Linked DNA regions of Nothobranchius furzeri. The protein of the gene in region 2 interacts with the protein of the main gene of each other region in a pairwise test. Links are inferred from orthologs where the notes say so. Each region holds a gene or a part of one and is shown on either strand. Other genes may lie near its edges.

The links.
Region 1: the proteins of transducin-like enhancer protein 1 (region 2) and foxa2 interact in a two-hybrid assay, tested with the Homo sapiens proteins (2 studies listed by BioGRID and IntAct). The link is inferred for Nothobranchius furzeri from reciprocal best matches to the Homo sapiens genes TLE1 and FOXA2.
Region 3: the proteins of transducin-like enhancer protein 1 (region 2) and dazap2 interact in binary tests that used the Homo sapiens proteins (3 or more experiments, as listed by UniProt). The link is inferred for Nothobranchius furzeri from reciprocal best matches to the Homo sapiens genes TLE1 and DAZAP2.

Annotation. Positions count from the first base shown.
Region 1 is NC_091758.1:36,350,852-36,355,030, forward strand, and holds foxa2 (forkhead box protein A2), read right to left. Parts: upstream 2,801-4,179; 5' UTR 2,539-2,800; coding exon 2,467-2,538; intron 1,938-2,466; coding exon 762-1,937; 3' UTR 324-761; downstream 1-323. UniProt on the Homo sapiens protein: Transcription factor that is involved in embryonic development, establishment of tissue-specific gene expression and regulation of gene expression in differentiated tissues.
Region 2 is NC_091757.1:48,832,070-48,836,711, forward strand, and holds part of transducin-like enhancer protein 1, read right to left. Parts: intron 3,384-4,642; coding exon 3,270-3,383; intron 3,173-3,269; coding exon 3,119-3,172; intron 2,996-3,118; coding exon 2,846-2,995; intron 2,759-2,845; coding exon 2,620-2,758; intron 749-2,619; coding exon 549-748; intron 1-548. UniProt on the Homo sapiens protein: Transcriptional corepressor that binds to a number of transcription factors. Inhibits NF-kappa-B-regulated gene expression. Inhibits the transcriptional activation mediated by FOXA2, and by CTNNB1 and TCF family members in Wnt signaling.
Region 3 is NC_091755.1:37,294,029-37,298,008, forward strand, and holds the start of dazap2 (DAZ-associated protein 2), read right to left. Parts: upstream 2,801-3,980; 5' UTR 2,650-2,800; coding exon 2,637-2,649; intron 727-2,636; coding exon 608-726; intron 514-607; coding exon 265-513; intron 183-264; coding exon 54-182; 3' UTR 1-53. UniProt on the Homo sapiens protein: In unstressed cells, promotes SIAH1-mediated polyubiquitination and degradation of the serine/threonine-protein kinase HIPK2, probably by acting as a loading factor that potentiates complex formation between HIPK2 and ubiquitin ligase SIAH1.

The DNA.
Region 1 (4,179 bases), on a different chromosome or scaffold from region 2:
AAAAGCGCGTGGATGAGAATAAATTCCATAATTTAAAACAAATAAACCCATAAATATCTAGTATTTATACCAGAAAATTGGAAATTTCCACTAAGTTATTACATGAATGTGGGAGTCAATTACTGTTTATTTAATATTTGTTTGTACTTTTTTCCTTTAAATTTATCATTGTTATTTGAAGTGTTTATTTAATAAAATTTATTGAAAATAACATAATTTTCTGCTTGTGTGGAACTGAATTTGAGTTAGCACTAAAATGGCGAAGCAAAAACCTAATATAATAATAATAATTAAAATAATAATAATAATAAAACACCATCATATTCAGAAAACAAAACCAATAACACTTTAATATAGATTCTGTTCTTGTCACTACAAGAAATACACATATACAAGCCATAAATAGGAATTACACAAATGATTGAACAAATCCTGTGATGCGTTTAAAGTCATTTAGGAATACCGTAAAGCGGAAATAAGCTATCTTACAGCAAGTTGTTGTGTGTCTTTGGGGTCCATTCCTTGTCACGTTGTTGATGTTATTATTATTATTTGATTTTTTTAATAATCAACATTCTTCCTCAAAATAAACAGGCTACTAATAAACTTGACAACTAAAACGGTGGGAAACGTCAAAATATCTGAAATACAATTTTGTACACAAAGTCTATATTTTTTGTTTGTTTCTGATGTTGTTGGTGTTGATTTGTTTTTACAAATATACAAATAAAACAAGGAAAAAAGTCCAACATGCAGAATGTTTATGAGGAGTTCATGATTGGCCTTGAATAGACGCCTTGATAGTAAGACGCGTCAGGTATAGACGCAGAATCCAGCCCGGCTTTTCCCGTCATTGGGCCCATAGAAAGCGCCCCGGCCATGGGGGAGCCGTACCCAGAGTAGTGCATCACCTGCTCGTAAGTCTTAAGGTCCATTTTGTGGTGCTGCTGCTCCGAAGACATGAGGTTATTGATGGAGAAGGGGTGGTTGAATGAGTAGTGGTGCTCCGGCTTCAGGTGCGCTTCGTGCGCCAGGACAGAGTGATGCTGCGACATGAGGTGCTGGCCCTGAGACACCGGGGAGGCGGCGGCGTGCTCCGGGCTCAGGGCCTGACTCGCCTTCATGTCTGACAGGGACCGTTTGTGGTCTGCGGAGGAGGAGTTGGAGTGCGGGGACTCGTTTCCGTTGCAGCTCTCTGAGCTGGAGTTAGATGATGCCCCGTCTCCCCCTTTGCGCCCGGGATCCTTCATGGCCGTCTTCTTCTCACACTTGAAGCGCTTCTGCCTCCTCAAGTAGCAGCCGTTCTCAAACATGTTCCCGGAGTCTGGGTGGAGAGTCCAAAATGAACCCTTTCCGGGTTTATCCGGAGACCTGGGCACTTTCAGGAAACAGTCGTTGAATGACAAAGAGTGGCGGATGGAGTTCTGCCAGCGCTGCTGGTTCTGTCGGTAAAAGGGGAACAGGTCCATTATCCACTGGTAGATCTCAGCCAGTGTGAGCATCTTACTGGGAGACTGCTGGATGGCCATGGTGATGAGAGAAATGTAGGAATAGGGGGGTTTGGCGTGCGTGTAGCTCCTGCGGTAAGTCTTGGGATCTCTGGATCTGTTGATGTTGGACTGTCCGTAAATGGGGCTCATCGCGTTCATGTTGGTGTAGGACGTGAGGGCGTTCATGGACGCGGGCTGCGCGGTCATGGGACTCATGCTGGGGCTCAGAGCTGCGCTCATGGCCGTCATGCCTGCGCCCATGCCGTTCATGGCCCCGGTGCCCGGCGACATGCCGGTCATGGAGGGACTCATGCCGGTGTTGACGTAGGACATGTTCATGGAGTTGGCCGTCATGTTGGCCGTGGTGCTCATTCCGGACATGCTCATGTAGGTATTCATAGAGTTCATTCCCAGGCCTGTGTTCATGTTGCCAACAGAGGTGTAACACTGTCAGAGAAGGGAAAGCACATCCATGAGTTTGGCAAAGAAAACACCTGCTGTAATAATTCCTTAACATTGTTGTAATATTTAACAAAAAATTAATAAATCAGCTGTTTGAAGTTTATGCCATGTAAAAATGGAGGAGCGTGTAATCAAAAAATAACAAATATTTATGAATATGATGACAAATAATGTGGTAAATAATCCTCTGAAACGCGCGATCCCTTTAAATTCCGCACATGAAACGCCTCCTTTACGAAAACTGGAGCCCTCATCCCTAAAAATCAAACACCACACGTGTTTATTTAAAGAAAATATAAATAAATAATCTGATTCATTATCCGAGTGAGAAGTTTCCCCCTCCTTACTACATGTCAGGCAACTTTAATAGCGCGCTGCGTGGAGATGGGGGAGGATTTGGAGGCGCCTCAAGTCAATATTTGATCACAAAGTTAATATTATCTCAGGGCTAATATTGAGTTGTATAAAATGGGATCGGCTTTAGACGGGAAAAATATATATTTAAGGTACCCACCTCAGGCTCTCCGTAGTAGGTGCTCCAGTCGGTGTGTTCGTGTCCTTCCATTTTAACTGCTCCAAGCATCATGGAGGACTTTCACAAAGCGTCTCCCAGCAGAGGAAAAGCCAAAAGTGTCTCTCTAATAACAAGCGACTAGGGACCACTGAGTGCGTGTGGGTTGTCGTTGTGTCCCTTCGTGGAGAACTGGTGCATGTGTGTCGCTGGGAGGCAGCCGTGATGCGCCTGTCAGTGACTGGAGTCCAAATGACGCGCTGCTTGTTAACGCTGTGATATAGCTCTGTGCACCAGGCAAGCCTCCAATCCCTACTTCTACGCCTTGGGCCCTATTTGAATAATCTCCTCGCACCTAGGCGTGAGACTCCTCAAGCTTCTCCCCCACCCCACCTCCACCATCACCACCACCCACCACCAACCCAATGGTACACCTGCGCGCACTGAAAAGAACAGTTTCATATGAAAAGCTTCATTATAAAACTGATCTTATTGTAGGGGAGTAAAAAAAGAGGAACTATAAAAGGAATGCTTGGCACCCTTCCTCTGTGCGCTTTTACGCACATCCTCCAACGACCTGACTCCACTCATCTGCACTCAGATCATAATCCGTTTTTATTGTTAAAAACATTTATGATCTTATCCTGTAAGTTTATTCTTTTATTCAGATCGACATAAGTTAATACAGGGGTGATTTTAGTGAAACTAAACAGATGTTTATAAATTTTACTTTGTTTTAGGAGAAAGGGGATAAATTATCCATTACAAATTACTAAAATGTTAGATTTTCAATTTAAAAATAAAAAACAAAGGTTTTATAAGAAGAAGATAGGGATTAGAGTTTGATTAAATGTTATTTTTATAATATTAAAAGTCAAATAATGCAAAATACAAATATATACATGTAAATATTAATCTTCAAAATGTTCAATTCTAAAGTCAAAACTGAATTTATGTGATATTTTCTTTAAATTATCAACAGTAAAATTCCATAAAAACTCTAAAAATGAATCGGTTTTTCCACTTGAATTACTGAATTAATGTTTTATCTTTTTTAATTGGGTAAATTTATTTGCAACGCACGTGCAGCTTCAGAGCGCCCTCTGTTGGACGTTACTGGCATTGCTCTTTCATGCAAGGCTGCTCGTTTTATTTCAAACGCTAAAATAAAGGTGTGTGTGCAATTTTAATGAATTTGTGGCAAACCATATAAGCAAGAAAATGTGAATTGATAAAAATATTTAATTAAGGCATATTAACATCAATATCCAACTTCTTCATTTGGTCGTTTGTTTCCCCATTTGCAGACACGATTTTGTTTCTATTGGTTTAAGAGTCACTTTAAACAACAACGTTTGTATAATCTGTTTATCTTTTTTCTGTTAAAGAGGCTCAGGAGAACCGGGGCGCTAAAAGGGCCCCTGACTAGCGCCGCGCGTACAGTATTTGTATGAAACAAACATCCAGGTGAGGCTGCGGAGCGGTGTCAGCCACGTGTCGGTGGTTGTACATCTATTTGACTGCATATTTACGCAGGAGCATAACTATCAGTACAGAGCCCCATTAGTAAAGGCGAGTAAACCTGTCGTGTTGACGAGGGACTAACAGAGTCTGCTTAACTTGGAAATGAGATCATGAGAAAAAAGCTTTCTGTGTTTGAGGATTTGGGATTGCACCGGCGGGGAGCCGCAGGCGCACAAGTCTGCGCCTTCTCGG
Region 2 (4,642 bases):
TCACTAGCAGCACGCCATTTAAATATCGTCACAAGGAATGGAGCAACACTGTGGAGCAACTGTTGACACTTTAAACACTTTGCAATATAAGACAGTCAGTGTTTGAACCCCTAAACATCCAGACTTGGGAGTTGAATGTTTTTGTCTCCATGTTGAAATTAGACCTGGCAAAGTAAATTTACTGAAGTAGAACAAAACAAATACACAGAGTGAGTGAACTCCCTGACGTGTGGACGACACCTGCGTTTAATCGGGACGTGACAAGTGATTTTAATTTGCACGTCTGGAAGGTGAAACCGTTCCAGCTGTCAGAATCTAAAAGTAACAAAAAAATCAGAAGCAGGAAGAAAGAAAATCTCCATCCTACTGAATATTTCATCAGGGGACAGGTGCAACAGGAGGAATAAAATCTTAGACGAGATGAAGATTACTTAAGCATTCTCGCATTAAGACTGTTGCACAAATCAAGGATTAAGTAAAGTAGAATCATAAGAACAATATTTAAAGAGTCGAGTTTAAAAAAAGGGTCTTGCTGAATGATGACTCACCATAGGAGAACGCCCATACGCAGCCACCGCGACTGCAGCTGCAGCGCTCATCTGAGGTGACATGTTGTGCAATCCAGCAGCATAAGCTGCAGCTCCAGCTGCTCCAGCAAGCTCCCCGTTCATCCCTGCTGCGTGGGGCAACATCCCAAACGCACCTGGATACGGACCTGGAACCGCCAGAGGAGTTCTCAAACCTGCAGCTGAAAGAGGAGAGAGGAGTTATCGCTAATCCTTAGGATTCTCTCTGTGGTCAAAGATATGTGAAAGGGAGACTAGGCAGTTTGGACTTGCTTTTAGCACCCCCTAGTGTCCGTTAGTAAAACCAAGAGTGAAACTTATTTCCTCGCTGTGCGTTTGTCTTTTTAACACCTTAATCAAACAGCTGCTATGTCTCCTCAGCCTTCCTTAATGTCAGGAGTGATTCATCAATAAATTAAACAAATCATCGGTGTTCATGATCCAAACATGCAGGAAACGTGCTGGAACTTTATTAAAACTAAAGCCTGACTCATGCTTCTCCGTCTGCGTCGGTGCGGAGACATGCAACATCCTTGCGGGCCTAATCGAGAGCTCTGCAAGGACGGACAGAGTCGAGCTCTCTTTTCTAAACATCCGTCAGTCGAGACGGAGAACGCAAGCTTGTGATTGGTCAAGACGCCGCTGTCATCTACACCGCCGCCATTGCGCCCTCAAAAACATAAAGAGAGCCGAGGATAACTAGCGGCAGACACGGAGAAGCTTGAAGAATACCTCGCGAAAAAACTCTAAAAATATGAACGTTTAATTCCCCCGTGACTGGAGGAGTGAAAAGATGCGCAGCAAGCGTTTTATTTGTGGACGGAAATGACAGGAAATGTGAGTTTAGAGGTGGCGAGCGCATGAACAGGTGGAGGAGGATGAGAGACAAATTTGCCCGTGTTAAAACGTCTCTTATATACAAAAACACACAATATAAACACACTATCTTAGACCGGATACATGACAGCATACCACAGAAGAGCGCTACGCCCTCTGTTGTCCTGGTGGGGAATTGCTTTGTAACACTCCCCAGGAGACGGAGAAGTATGAGAGCAAAACGCTTCCGGCAATCCATACGTGTTTGTCCCTTGCGGAGCTGATGGAGAAGCATGAATCAGGCTTAACAGAGACTGGACCAGCTCTCTAAAGTTGCGAGTGTGATATTCTGGCTACAGGGGGCGGTGGTGTCTGAGGGACATTTCATTGACCTTGTACAGGGTCATTTTTGAACATACTTGCTCAAGAAACTGATTTAAAAAATATGAAAAAGTTGCACAGTATGCCTTTCAAGCACATTTCTAAACAAACAGCAGAAATTACAAGAAAACAGCAGAAATTACAAGAAAGGTTCCTTCAGGGTATCTGCAGGTTTAAAGGAGCCAAATTTAAGACTTTTTAAGACCTTTTTTAAGGCCACTTTGACCAAATTTAAGCTATTTTTAAAATTAAATAAATTTAAGCTATAACTTCCAGCTATTTCCTGGAACCGGTGCTAACCACATCGCAAACGTGGGATTAGCCATCCAGTTACCATAAAACTTCCCCAAGGCGCAAGCTCCCACTAGCTTAACCAGCTAATGTGCTCATCTAAAAATAGCCCCCTTTCACAACCAACTGAATGTGTACGGTTCCGCTTACGCCAACATCGTACACAAAAAATCCTGAACACTAACTAGAAATTCACAAAATTTTTATTGAAATAAAAGAATCTTGTTTAGTGGACCTTTGGGAATTTAAGACCTTTGGAAACTGTATTTAAGGATTATTTGTCATTTTTAAGGATTTTTGAGGCCTTAAATTTTGAAAAGCAAATTTAAGACTTTTTAAGACTTTTTAAGACTTTTTAAGGACCCGCAGATACCCTGTTTCTTTAATATTGAGTATGTTGATTTTTTTTTCCATGGATGTGTAAAAACAAGTTCTTAAGACCAGTTTATGTCAGTTTACATTGTTTAAACAAAGACATTTCACAAAGTGTACAAACAAAATTATTGAATTATTTCTAATTCCCCACCCAAAAATATAGCCATGTTAAGCTCGTGTATAGACATACTGGGCGGATGTGGTATCTCCATAGATGGGGGTTTTGATAGACTGGGTCGGATTCCAGGTGTGGAGCTTGGACCAGGGGTGGAGTCACCTCTAGGTGTGGGGGTGCTTGACTTTAGACCTGGTGTACCTGCCTTTTCTCGCTGCCACACAGAAAAATTCACAAGCATTGTGTCACTATTAAATATTTTAATGGATCTGTCCGACTATAGGCTGAGACGGATTTCTACCATGGTCATCTCTTTGGATTTGAGAGAGGAGGAGCTGGCTGATGAGGCAGTAGACGCTGGACTACAGGGGTCCTTCTTCAGGAGACGTGCTTTATCCAAGCCATTTTCTCTAGGGGAGGCAAGAGGTGTCCCCCGGGGGGAGGCTGCGTCCTGGTGGGTAAATAAACAACGTGAATGACCTGACAACAAAACTGCAAGATTACAGAGAAATTAAGTCATACCACCTTCAGAAAAGATAGCATTCAAAGAATCCAGCCATTATTAGACACTGACCTCATTTGACACGTCCACCACCAGGTTATCATCACTTTTTTCTCCATCACTGTCCTAAAAGTCAATTAAACCACAAAAGACACGTTCACATTTAAATATTAGTATTTGGAAGGGGAAAAAAGGAAAAATAAAACTAAGAACTATATCGTACATAGTGGCTAGAGTCTTTGTCGTCCACTTTGCGTTTCTTGGTGTCGTTTGTGAGGTCGGGACCATTGCGTCGCTTATCAAAGTTCCTGAGACTTTCCGGTAACAGCGAGTTACTCTGTAGAAGGAGAGATGAGTGTTGTAGCAAGAAAAGAGGAGAAGGAACAGATTAGTAGACAAAAGAAAACCATTTCATAATGGGGCACTTATACATTTGATTGCATTTTGCTGAGTGTACGTTGTCCATGAGTTTGCTCAACCACCAGATCAATAATTACAAGAGCTCCTCAGCTGTGTGTGGAGCAGGTTAGAAAAACAGACCCTTGCTCACATATGGGTTAACAGTTCAGCATGTATTTAGCAGCGCTAACACTTACAGCAGCCTCTTTTCTCACTTGACCAAAGCCAGTCAGAGTCAAACACAAACACATGCCTCTGAAGCTGATGATTACATTAAGTGGCTCTCAAAATCTATCAGTGCTCCCTCTCCTGGCTCTGACAAGCTCCAGTGTGTGTGTGTGTGTGTGTGTGTGTGTGTGTGTGTGTGTGTGTGTGTGTGTGTGTGTGTGTGTGTGTGTGTGTGTGTGTGCGTGTGTGTGTGTAATTGACTGTGAAAGCATGTGTGTACTACTGAGTGTGTAAGAGATTGTGTATTACTTGCATAACATTCCAGTGTCCCTCTGTGTCCCAAGACTACACACATGCTTGTAAAGGTGCATGAATGCACACACTGACTCTGTCTCTCCCTCTCTCAGACAGACACACACACACACACACACACACACACACACACGCACGCACGCACGCACGCACGCACACGCACACAGAATAGGATTTGCTGGCCTCCTGACCAAAGGATCCTATTGTTAATGGATTAAGGCCTCATGTTGAGTCCATTATAGTTTCAGCCTGTCAATGAAATGTGCATCCAACATACACATGCACACATATGGGGAGAGAGAGAGAAAGAGAGAGAGCACTTTGAGGGGGAAAGGGTAAATGAAGGGGAATCAACTAGGAGAGATGGGTAGGGAGGAAGGGGTGAGAAAAAAAGGAGGAAAGGGGGGAGATTAGATTAGAGGAGGGAAGATGGAAAGAGAGTGTGAGAGTATGGAGGAAAAGAAAGGTTGACATGAGACAAGAGGGGGAGCAAAGGAGAGGGAGGACTGCCAAGGCCCCTTCCTTCAGCCGCCCTCCCTCTCCCCAGCCCTCTTCACCTCCTCCTCCCCTTTTATTGAAAGGTTTTAGTGAGCTGAGAGCAGAAGCACTGACCCGCAAAACATAAGCACCCCCACCTCCATGCTGTCGTTGCCCCCTGTTCATTTTCAGCATGGTGTCTCAAACACACACACACATACAGCTCAGTGTCATATGACT
Region 3 (3,980 bases), on a different chromosome or scaffold from region 2:
CATCTGGGACGGGGGTACGGTTTAGGCATAAACAAGGAGGGGAGTAGCTGCTGTTACCAGATGGTATAACCTCCACTGGATCCGCCCAGGAAGAAGTTGTTCTTGCGCTGTGTCATGACAACATTGGCACCCTGCATGGCAGCCAGCTGAGCTGCATTAGGGGGGTGTCCAGGGGGTGGGGGCTAGAGAAGAGGAGAAACGAGCTCAGTGGCAGGTTAAGAGTTACAAAGGCCTTGGCTACAGGTTAAGTCACTCCGTACTCACTGGGATGGAAACACTGCTGCCAGCTGTGAAACGAGCTCCAGCATCAAAGCCACCGTCCACCATCACTGTTGAACCAGGGGGGTAAACAGCTCCCATGTGATAGTAAGCCATGGGAACGTTCTGGCCCACCGGACCAACGGGCATGTGTGGCTGCATGGGCATGTACACCTGAGCACCAGGGTAGGGAGAGGACATCTGAGGCACCTGACCAGGCACCTGAGGTGGAAGCACGTATCTGGGCTGGTATATCTGCATACAAAGACACGAGAAACAGATTTAATTGAAGAATACTAAAAAAAAAAAAAAAGCTAATCTAGGCTTGACCTGTAGATGCAAGCGTTACCTCAGAATATGCAGGTGGTGTGTCTGAGTATGGAGGTGCCTGAGGAGACATTTGCATAGCAGGAGGGTATACAGGTGCAGAGCTCTGCTGAGGGTACACAGCCTGCTGTGGGTATGAGCCTGCAAAACAACATTTCACTTTTAAACACGCACAGCTGAAGAATTATGGGATGAGAACCGTTTCATTATTACTAGGGATGTAAGAAAATATCGATATGGCAATATATCGTGATATTTTTCGCAGCAATATTATATCGATATTCAAAAGCTGTGTATCAGAAATATCGATATGGCAATATATCGCGATATTTTTCCAGCAATATTATATCGATATTCAAAAGCCGCATATAGGAAATATCGATATGGCAATATATCGTGATATTTTTCCCTGTGATTATTACATTGATATTCAAAAGCCGTGTATCTAATTCTTGAAAGAATGCAAACATGCAAACATTTGTGTATTTTCTTTTCGTTTTGTGCAATTCAATCGCCACCCGCTAGTTGGCAGCAGTGTGCAACGGGTTTTGTTTCCACCATTGAACTGTAAATCCCTCCATCATGGTTCAGATACCTCATGTTAAACATGTTACATATCAGTTTTGACTGTTTATTGAACATGCTTATAATAAATTCAGTAAAAAATAGCTTGTAACGTCTGACTGAATGTATCGCAATATATCAGGATACATCGTATCGTCTCCCCTGTATCGTGATATGTATCGTATCGCCAGAATTACAAAAATACACATCCCTGATTATTACTAATGACTTTGACTACTAACATTAAGCTGCAAGTACTTCTTCTCAATCATCATCATCATCATAAATAAACTGATGCTGCTTCTGAGTGGAGATGGGAGGGAGCTGATTACATTTACAGCTAAATACATGAAATTATTACTGATGTGAACGCAACTACTGAGTGGTACACGTTACAGAAAATCCCAATGTCTTGTATACTGAAGCTAACGTTGGTCTTTTTCGGGTACAACTTTGAACGTTTCTACATTTTACAGACAAAAGAACAAAAACCAGATTTTGACACAAAGTGTCTTTAGGTCCAACATTTGGCGGCAGTAAAAGAAAGAACAATGTTTAAATATTGATGGAAACATGTTATTTAATATCATCAGGGGGGATTTATTTAAGCAACTGAAACTGTTGTGCATAATTATAACAAACTATGTGATGACTGTAGCAAGTCTGTCACTGCCAAGAGAGTTTCTAGTTTTGTTTTGAGTGCATTGTATGGCAAACAATACCAGGAAACTAGACATAATCACTTTTCTCAGCCCAGACAGTATAAGCAAAGGGTAAAAATGTATTACTTGTAAAAACACAAGTGAACGGATTAGAAATTAATAAAATGTAAATGGAAGATTTTATTATAAAGCCGAATCTGATTAACACAACGCACAAAAGCCTGGTGGTTAGTAAACAAATGTGAATTTTACATTTTCTTTGTCTTTCCAACATGACAAATCGACCATCGCGCATTACAGTTTGAATAAAATGTCTGCTTCTATTTTAGCTTTAGTGAAACAATTAATTCAGTAAGAAAAATATCATGAAATGTCATTAGCATTAGCCACGAACAAAGATGTCATGCTACAAAAAGACAATCTAAGCTCAAATAAGACAAACAAAAGAAGAAATAAACAACCTGGTGCATTTTTGCGCCGAACAGGTCTAAAAACATAAATGTAACCGGGATGTTCTTTGTTAACAAGAACTCCCCCCCTCCCCAACAAAAACAGGAAAGCCATGTCAGATTTGCTTTTATAATCACGTTAGCTTGCTGGAACACATCTGACCGGCCCGTTTTGGTCAAATAACAAAATGTGAAACTAAATTCGGACATCCGACGTTAGCAATATCCAAGACAGCTTGGTTCGGAGTGTGCGTCAGTTTATTGTTATGTACGTAGCTTCAGTTGGCCACAACGCGAGCTCCTCGTCTTTCCTTACAACGCCAACGTCAAGTAACGAGTAGCTAGCTGGAAAATGAAACACACGACGGAGAAATACCTTTGTTATTCATTGTTGTGGACTGATTCGGAGGCTGAGGAACATCAGATTAAACGGCGCTTTGTGTATCTTGTCTCGGCCTTATAATAGCTTACGGCTTGACACTTCCTTGTTTCTCAGCTTCTTGTTGTTGTGGAAGTGGTTACGTCACCCGTTCTTTATCTGCGGTCGGACGCACGCTCAGTTTCACCTGCACGCGCGCGCCCCCTTCTGGAGGAAATGAGATTTGTTTTTAAAGGAATATGAAAAGCACAAAAAACCCTAAATATTAGCTAAACGTAAAATGAAATTAATACTTAAGTGCGTACTACAATCAGTGTTGGGCAAGTTACTTCAATACTGTAATGCATTATCTATTACTTGTTACCCTCATTTTAAAGTAATTCATTACATTACAATATTACTGATTTTAAAATGTAAGGCATTAAACTACTTTTGAACTACTTTAAGTTACTTTCAACAATACAACTTCAATATGAATCTGGTAATCTGACGCTCAGTGAGCTCATGACATATATGTGGAAAGTGATGTGGTGTCTGAGCAAGCCCCCACAATGCAAGAGCAAGTCTATGGAAACCCATTGTCCATATATGTATGTCGATGTGTCTGAGCTAGCTAGGGTTGCTGTTAAAAACAGTCAGATATAATAACAGTGCTTTAAAATTATTGTTTATTAAATAAAAGCAACAACAATCTGTACTCTCAGCACGCTGCCATCTTATATTAACTGAGCATGGTGGGGGCTCCAAGCCTATATTTGCCTTGGTCCCCAAATGCCTTGATATGGCCCTGGATGTGGGACTGACTTCTGGGGTGATCTGATTCTATCACATGTATAAATATTAAATGCTTATATATTATTGCTTTTCACTGGTAAAAATGTGTATTGGGGATAAATCTACCTACTTTTTTCTTTTGAAGCACTTTGTTTTGTTTTCTTGATTTTATTTGAATAATTTCCTGCCCTTTTTCTCTCTAACCTTCCTGCATGCTGCATGTTTTCTCCGTCTTCCAGAAAAACTGTTCCCTAAATTTCTTACTTTCTAACTAATCAGCCAAAGGGATCTACCAAACCCACAAAAAAATAAAATAAACATTTTTTTAAAAAAAGCTTAATATTCGTTGCGCTCCAGCAGCAATAAGTTGAAATCACCGGGGCACAGATTATGAAGTCAGCTGAAAAGTACATGAAGTACCAGAGAATATGGACTGATATAAACGATCGCACACGAATTACTTTGTTTTGGTCAGAGGCGTGTCCAGGGAGTGGCCTGGGGTAGCACATGCCACCCTTGGAATCTGATTGGCCACCCCAGGTGCCATCACACTAATTTACCTTTAAA